Linked DNA regions of Sus scrofa. The protein of the gene in region 2 interacts with the protein of the main gene of each other region in a pairwise test. Links are inferred from orthologs where the notes say so. Each region holds a gene or a part of one and is shown on either strand. Other genes may lie near its edges.

Evidence for each region.
Region 1: the proteins of DMRT3 (region 2) and MGAT5B interact in a two-hybrid assay, tested with the Homo sapiens proteins (2 studies listed by BioGRID). The two-hybrid records come from large-scale screens. The link is inferred for Sus scrofa from reciprocal best matches to the Homo sapiens genes DMRT3 and MGAT5B.

Annotation. Positions count from the first base shown.
Region 1 is NC_010454.4:4,727,049-4,731,586, forward strand, and holds the start of MGAT5B (alpha-1,6-mannosylglycoprotein 6-beta-N-acetylglucosaminyltransferase B), read right to left. Parts: upstream 3,048-4,538; 5' UTR 2,737-3,047; coding exon 2,669-2,736; intron 1-2,668. UniProt on the Homo sapiens protein: Glycosyltransferase that acts on alpha-linked mannose of N-glycans and O-mannosyl glycans.
Region 2 is NC_010443.5:220,818,966-220,821,799, forward strand, and holds the end of DMRT3 (doublesex- and mab-3-related transcription factor 3), read right to left. Parts: intron 2,557-2,834; coding exon 1,592-2,556; 3' UTR 560-1,591; downstream 1-559. UniProt on the Homo sapiens protein: Probable transcription factor that plays a role in configuring the spinal circuits controlling stride in vertebrates.

The DNA.
Region 1 (4,538 bases), on a different chromosome or scaffold from region 2:
TGACTGCTTATTCCTTCACCCCCTAGGGTTTGATGACTTGCCAAGTGCCAGGCACTTAAGGTGGCCTCAGGGGGCCAGCAGGGAAGCCACCCCCAAGTCTGGCCCTGGGGCCCTGCCTCTTTCATTCTAGATTCTGAGCCAGCACAGCCTTGAGGTAGCCAGAGGTGGAGGCTGGGACCTTGACTCCATCAGAGGACTTGATGAGCTGGCAGGGCTGAAAGGGGAGCCACCCCCCCGCCCAGGTCTGGGCGACTCATCTCCTGTGTAGCCGGATGCACCAGGGGGAGCCCCACCAGCCATGCCAGAGACCTCAGCCCTCCTGCCCCCCACCCACCCACCTCCATCCACTAACCCCATATGTGTTTGTATCTCTACGCAAGACTTGCTTTATGCATTTTAATCTTCATTATTTGAAACTGGCAGAGCCGTATTTAATTAAAATTTGGTCCATTAAAGAAAACACATAATTGCGGAAGAAAATAAAAGCACAGCCAAATCCCCAATCTGTGTTTAAAGGCAGCTGTTAGAGGGTATGGCAGAGCGAAGGGGGCAGAACCCCAAAGCAGAGATGGCCCTGGAAGCTTCCCCCAGGAGACGACAGGCAAGACGCCACAGGGGAACACTGCTCCCTCAGCTCCCGGGACCCCTCCCTGGATCCCCAAGACAAAGTCAAGCTGGCCTCAGGCCAGCAGCCAGAGGGACAGTGGAGCAGGAGCATGGTCCCTCCCCCAGGAAGATCTTGGGAGGAAGCAGCAGTTTGTCCTCCCAGCCTGGGGACAAGGATGGAGCGCTTCGAACGTCTTGTCCCCACCCTCGCTTCCCTTCCCCAGCTCTGTATTCAGAACCGGGGACCTGGGCAGCCAGCGTCCAAAGACCTCCTGTGAGAAAGGAACCTAGGCCTTCAGCCCAGGACCTGAAGCCCCCAAATACCTCACCTGCCTCTCTGCCAGACCCCCAATCCCGGGGCCATTTATCGTAGCTTCAAGTTAAAATGGTTTCGTCCAACCATGTATCCACTCAGACAACATTCGAGAAGCAACCAAGGAATACGGCCGAGCCAGAGGCTCTGGGAAAGCCGGCGAGGAAAGGGCTCCTAGTTTGCCCTTGAGGATTGACAAGTAGGGAGATAAAGCTGCAGGCTCTACGGACCCCCATCGGAAGGGGACTTGGCGACCTCACTGCTGGCTGTGCTCTCTGGGCGGCCCAGGGATAACCTGGCAGGGAGGGGAGCCTATGCAACCCCACCTCTGAATTCTGCCTTCAGGCAAGAGCCTTAAGAAGCCCCCCCACCCCCAGGATCCAGAGGGAGAACCCGCTATGGACCTGGCGCTGTCCATGGTCCTGGCTCTCAGCCACCACCTCCAATCGTGCAGCGGAATGCCCAGCCGAGCTGGGGTCAGCGTCTGAGCTTCCCATGGCCTTAAGGGAGGGGTCAACACTGGGTAAGAGACACTGGCCGAGGACCCCCTCGCCCGTCTGGGTGGGCAGGAATTTCAGGATTTCCCAGGAGGAACAAGGCCCTTTTCAGAGACAATAGCTTCCAACCTGCTTTCCAGGGGAATGTTGGGTGGGGGAGGTTGTCCTGACACCCAGTCACCTGCCCAAGGCTCTACCCTGGGGGAACCCCAGCCCTTCTGTCCCCCCCCCATCCTCCAGACAGTGGTGGTCCAGCCTAGAGGCTGTCTCTTCAACTATAGCGCTGGGACCCCACCTGTGGCCAGGTCCAGAGTGAGTCCCCCCCCACCTTCTCTGGCTGGCTACTCCCTCTCGGCTGACCAGCCCCTGGGCGAGGAGGCAATCCCACCCTGCTGGGCACCCCTCCCTTAGCGCCCCCTCCCCAACCCCAGCTACAGGCCGGGCTATGACAGTGTTGGGGAGGGGTGAGAGCTGCCCGGGGGTGGGACCAGCAGAGCCCAGCCATCCGCAAGAGGCCACAGTCCTGCTGGCCTTGACCGCTGAGGTTGGGGTGGGGGTGGGGGTGGGGGTCGGTCTTCGCGCCCCTCCTGCCTCCGCTGCTCTCTCCGCCCTTGCACCCACAGCGCCGCCCCTGCCCCAGCCTCTCCGAGGCCCGCGAGAGCGGATCGAATTCCCAGCAGAGAGGGCCCCTGCCCCAATTTCGGGGGCCCTCCCTTTGGCGATAGGCCCGCACCCCGCCAAGAGAGAAGGGTGCCGGCAGGAGGCTGGGGTAGAGGTCAAGGCACAGGCAGGGGGTGGGCGGGCCGACTCGGGGCTCCACGCGCCCGCCGGGTGGGGTGCCGCCCCGCGCTGAGCGCTAACTTTGCCTCGGGAGTGGGGCCATCGGCGGGTGGGGTGAGGGGCGAAGGACCCCGAGGGGCAGGGAAGGGGCGCCCTGGCTGCTGCTGCGACTTCCCGGTCCCAGGACCACAACGCGGCTGCTGTCTGCCCCCATTCCCACCTTCGCACCCCGAGTCTTCTCCAACCTAGACCAAACTCGGTCCACGTCCCAGGATCACACACGCTCCCCAGGCGACCCGGAGCCCCAGCTCCATCCCTTCCCCTGCCCCGCTGGCCGCCGCCAAGGGCTCAGGCACGAACCGCCCCCTCTGCTCCCGGGACAGGCACCCCGGCCGGGACTGACCGCACTCGCCCCTGCCCGCGCCCCTTCGGAGAAAAAGACCTCCCGGCGCCAACCGGGAGAGAACTTTACCGAAAAGGTCTCAGGGTGACCAGGCATCTTCTGACCATTATCTTCCCATCGGGGTTGACTGTGATCATTGTTCAAACTTGTCTGGGCGAGGAGCCGCGGGCGAGGCCAGACGCACCGTCCCGGGCCCTGCTCCCGCCGCGTCCGGGCCGCGAACCCGCTGCGGGCCGGAGCCGGATCGGAGCGAGGTCGGGGTCGGCGCGGCCTCGGCGGGCAGGGGAAGGGGAGCGGCGCGGCTGCCGGAGGGCAGCGAGGGCGCCCGGCCGGGCCGTCTCTGCGTCTCCGCCCTCCCCGCTTCACATCTTGGGGGCCGGGAGACGGCGCGCCCCCAGACCGCCGGCCGCGCGTCTGCCTGCTCGGGCTCGCTCGCTGGGCGGGACGGCGCCGCGGCGCGCAGACGGGCTCCCCGCCGCGGGCGCCCTCATCCCCGGGCCCGCGCCCTCGGTGCCGGCTAGAGGCGGCCCCGGGCCCGCGCCCCGGCCCCCCGCGCCTCCGGGCCGCGCCGATCCTCCACCCCGCGCCGCGCCGCGCCCATGGCTCCGGGCGAGAGAGCCCGGCGCCCGCCCTGCCGCCTGCTCGCTCGGCTGCCCGCGCCCAGGTGTCCGGCGTCCGGCCCGCACCGCGTTACGCCCGGAGGCGCCGCATTGTTTCCTCGGAGGAGGCGGCGGAGCAGCGGCTGGGGCGGCCGAGGAGCGGCCGCGGCGCTTCCTCGGCGCGCTGGCGCCACCTCGTGGCCACGTCCCAGCAGCGCGCTCTCCCGGCCCGGGGCGGGGCTCCGGAGACCGAGGGGCGGGGGCCCTGCGTCTCCCTCCAACCTTCCAACTTCTCGGGCGCCGCTTTCCGAAGCATCCGGGTGCCACCAGCTCTGTGGGCCTCCGGCGGCTCGGGCTCCTGCTGAGCACAAAGGAGGTCGGCGCTGGGAGGAGACTCCCACTTCTGCCCGGGGCCAAGGCCCTCCCTCTGGCCACTACCGCTGCCTCGGCTGCCGCAGTGGGCTTCTGCACCGGCCCCTTCGCACCCACAATGATGTCGCTTCGCAGCCCTCGCCCATCCGCTGGCTCTCTCTGGACAGAAACTGCAGCTGCTCCCCTTCGCTTACTGAGTTCAAAGTTGGCCTGTGACACAGGCTTGTCCACCGAGAAGCAGCCGAGAAGCAGGAGCGCGCTCTGAGGCGTCTCATCTCAGACCCTCTATGAACCAGCCAGGAACACGTACAAGTCAGGGGGACTCCCTGGCCCTGGTTTCTCTGCTATGAAATGAGAGTGGCCCCAGGTTCACTTGGGCCCCTTCCAACTCTGTAAAGAATGCACCCCCCCTCCTCCCCAACCCCAGCCCCCATCTGCTTCTTGACTCTGGAGAGGTGTCTACTATTGCAGGGGAGGGGGCAGAGGTCCCTGTGAGCAGCTCCCAGAGCCAGGCCTGGATGTGAGCGGGCAGCTCAGGCAGGAAGAGCCCTTGCTGGACACGCCTGACCAGGCACAGACATGGGAGGCCCAGCTGGGAAGAGCTCCAGGCCTCTGGCCATGTGTGAAATGATATGGATGACATGAGAACTTTCCAGAGGAGAAAACCTCCTTTTTGTCTTTTTAGGGCTGCACCTGCAGCATATGGAAGTTCCCAGGCTAGGAGGTCACATCAGAGCTACAACTGCCAGCCTACACCACCGCCACAGCAACACCAGATCCGAGCCACATCTCCACCCTACGCTGCAGCTCTCAGCAACGCCAGGTCCTTGACCCCCCGAGCGAGCCCAGGGATGGAACTCACATCCTCATGGATATGAGTGAGGTTCTCAACCCACTGAGCCACAGCGGGAACTCCAGGAGAAAACCTTTATTCTGGGCCGCCCAGCCCTTGTCCAGTCCACCTAGGC
Region 2 (2,834 bases):
TGCATCCTTGTCATGTAGAGGCTTTTATTTATTTTCTTATTTACTTTCCCTTCCACGTTCATAAGTTTATTGTCTGACCTGAGCAGTCATCTTTCTTCTCAAGCACTCAGGAGAGTGGAAACAGTAAGAAATGGTTGGTGGGAACACCACTGCACATTATTAAAACTCACTTTTAAAAATACCTGAGCAAAAAAGTGAATAAAAACAAATGAAATAAATAAAATAAAAATATCTGAGCAAGAGGTTTGCCATATTAGTGTCCTCCCCCTGAAATGCTTTTTTAAATGAAGGGGAAAAGCCCTGTTTCCAATGGTTTGTTGCAGTCACCTCCTAAACTGCAATGGCATCTTCTCCAACTGAGAATGAGGAAATTCACTTCTGCATCCTGACGGCAAATAGCAGAATATATTGAACTGAATAGGAGGAACTGCTCTCGTTGATTGAGTGCTGTCTCTATGTTGGGTACCATGCTAAGCACTGTGCTTACTTCCCACACTGCAGATTGTTTCATTTTTACTTTGTTTTTAATGAGATTCTCCATCATGTAATCCCTGCCATCTTCAACTCATGGGCAGGTAACTTGGTCAATAGCAGACAAAGAGCCTTGTCTTACACATAGTAGGCTCTCGATAAGTATCTTTTGAAGAAACAAACAAATGGATGGATAGCTGAGTTATCTCTATTCTTGAACAATACATTCTATCTTTCTGAATGCAGTCCCCAAAACTTTGCCATTCATTTTTCTCGAGGAATGTCGCATTCAACGGAAACCTTGATCCATGCATTAGAAAGCAGCTTTTATATCAAGTTTCTATTTTAGACATCCTCTTTCAACAAACAGAAATGACATAAACCAAGATCATCTCCTTAGTTTATTTTTTTCCTAGGCTCCTTAGCATGCTACATTAACCTGACAAAGCTTAATCTTGTGTTCATTTCACAATACAGTTCATGCAGTTCACAGCTGTGATTGGTTTTACATTGACATAACACATGTTTCGATTCAGCCATGTGAAAAGAATAATTCTTAATGGAGTTTGTCTCTGAAAACTGTCCAAGCTTAAATAAGCATGAGAGCAGTTCACTCTATTAAATGCAGTTTCTCTTTAAAATGCAAGAAGAATATTTAGCACATGAATATAAGGTCCCTGTTTATAGTCTGTTTGCAACTGAACCACTTCCTTGAGGTTTCACATATCCTGAGGAATCCTCCTTTACAAAATTGCATTCAAGTATACTATTTTATTGAACATTCCAGATTGAGTTTAGGAGCAAGGCTGACCTTCAGCTTTACATCCCCAAATAAATCTTCCATGGGCCCAAGGCTTTCTCGCCTATTCTTAGCATTAGACTCTCTTTTACAATGAACATTCAGCACTAAAGCCACAGAGCAGAGCTATTTGGCATTTTCCAGTGAAGTGCAAGAAATTAAATAAGTTATGTTTTTATTGCTAAGGTATAGAATCAAGCACAGTCACTTTGTCAAACAGAAGGAAAAGGTATACACAGGATGTGGGCCCTCCTCAAGGGGGAGCCCGGGGTTCAAATGCACAGAAAATGTCACCTGGTCACCACCCATCAGGCGCCACTTCTAAGATGATGTGTTGAGTATTCTAGAGTCTGAGGAGTCAGACCTCTCATCATAGTCGTCCTCGGTGTAAATGGACTGCTTTGACACAATGGGACACCCATCCTCAGGGATGGAAATCCTAGGGTCTTCTGGGGCACGGGCAGGGAGGACAGGTGAGCTTCTGAAGACGCTGGCTGAGTTGGTGGGGAAAGGGCTGACATACTGGGACCTCAGCTGGTACTGCTGCTGCAGCGTCATGGTGTTCCACAGGGTGACATCGTTGGGCAGAAAGGGGCTCGACTGGTTTCTCGCCAAAGTATTCCTCAGCATCAGAGGGTACCGGGGCGGCTGGGGGAAGGGGTGTTGCAGGGGCACCGCCAAGGGGTTGGGGACCACGTTACTAGAGTCCGCGGAAAACCTCAACGTGTCTGGGACCCTGAAGGCCGAGCCCACGGACCACTTGGAGGAGGAGATGGGGTAGGAGCTCAGCGTGTGCTCGAAGATGTGCCCATTGGAGGGTAACACCAGGCCCTCGGGCTCTGCTGAAGTTCGCTCTGCGGCCGAGCCGGAGGAGCGGCTGGAGAGGAGGACCTCCACGGCGCTCACCAGGTCGCCGCCACAGCCCTTGAGGATCAGCTCCAGCACCGTGGGCTTCTGGTTGGGAAATATCTTCTTTAACACTTCCAGAGGCGGCCTGTTGGCTTTCAGGCTGAAGGGCAGTGAGACGGTCCCCGAGGGGCCCTCGATCAGGAGGTGGTTCTGCTCCCCTGGATACTTGGGGCTGTCAGGGCGGCTCTCGGAGCTGCCTCCGTTCTTCTGGGCCGCGTACCCGCCTTCATCCACTGACACGATCTCAGGGCTCTCAGGGGTGAAGCAGCCCTTACTTTTGGCCACATCCGGGGAGCTCCTCTGGTCCGTGTCTTTGTCGCTGAAGGTCTCTGTGTTGTCGGTGGTGCTGCTGTCCCCAAGCCGTTCTTCAGCCAGATCTGAAAAGCACAGAGCAGCTGGGTTAATCCTTTCCTGGTGTGCATAAAGAAGAACAGATGTGCTCAAGAGAGGGTCCTACGCCGGCTTTTTAAAAGGGGAAGCGGCTTATAACATACTGCCAGCCTTTAAAAATCCCAACTATGTGATTGGCAAATGGCAAAAAATAAAAACAAAAAGAACTCTGTACATAAAGATCTAGAAATTGAAGTGATTTCTCAAAATGGTGTGTGTGGGGAAGCTGGCTTTCAACACAGAAGAGCAACACGATACCTACAAC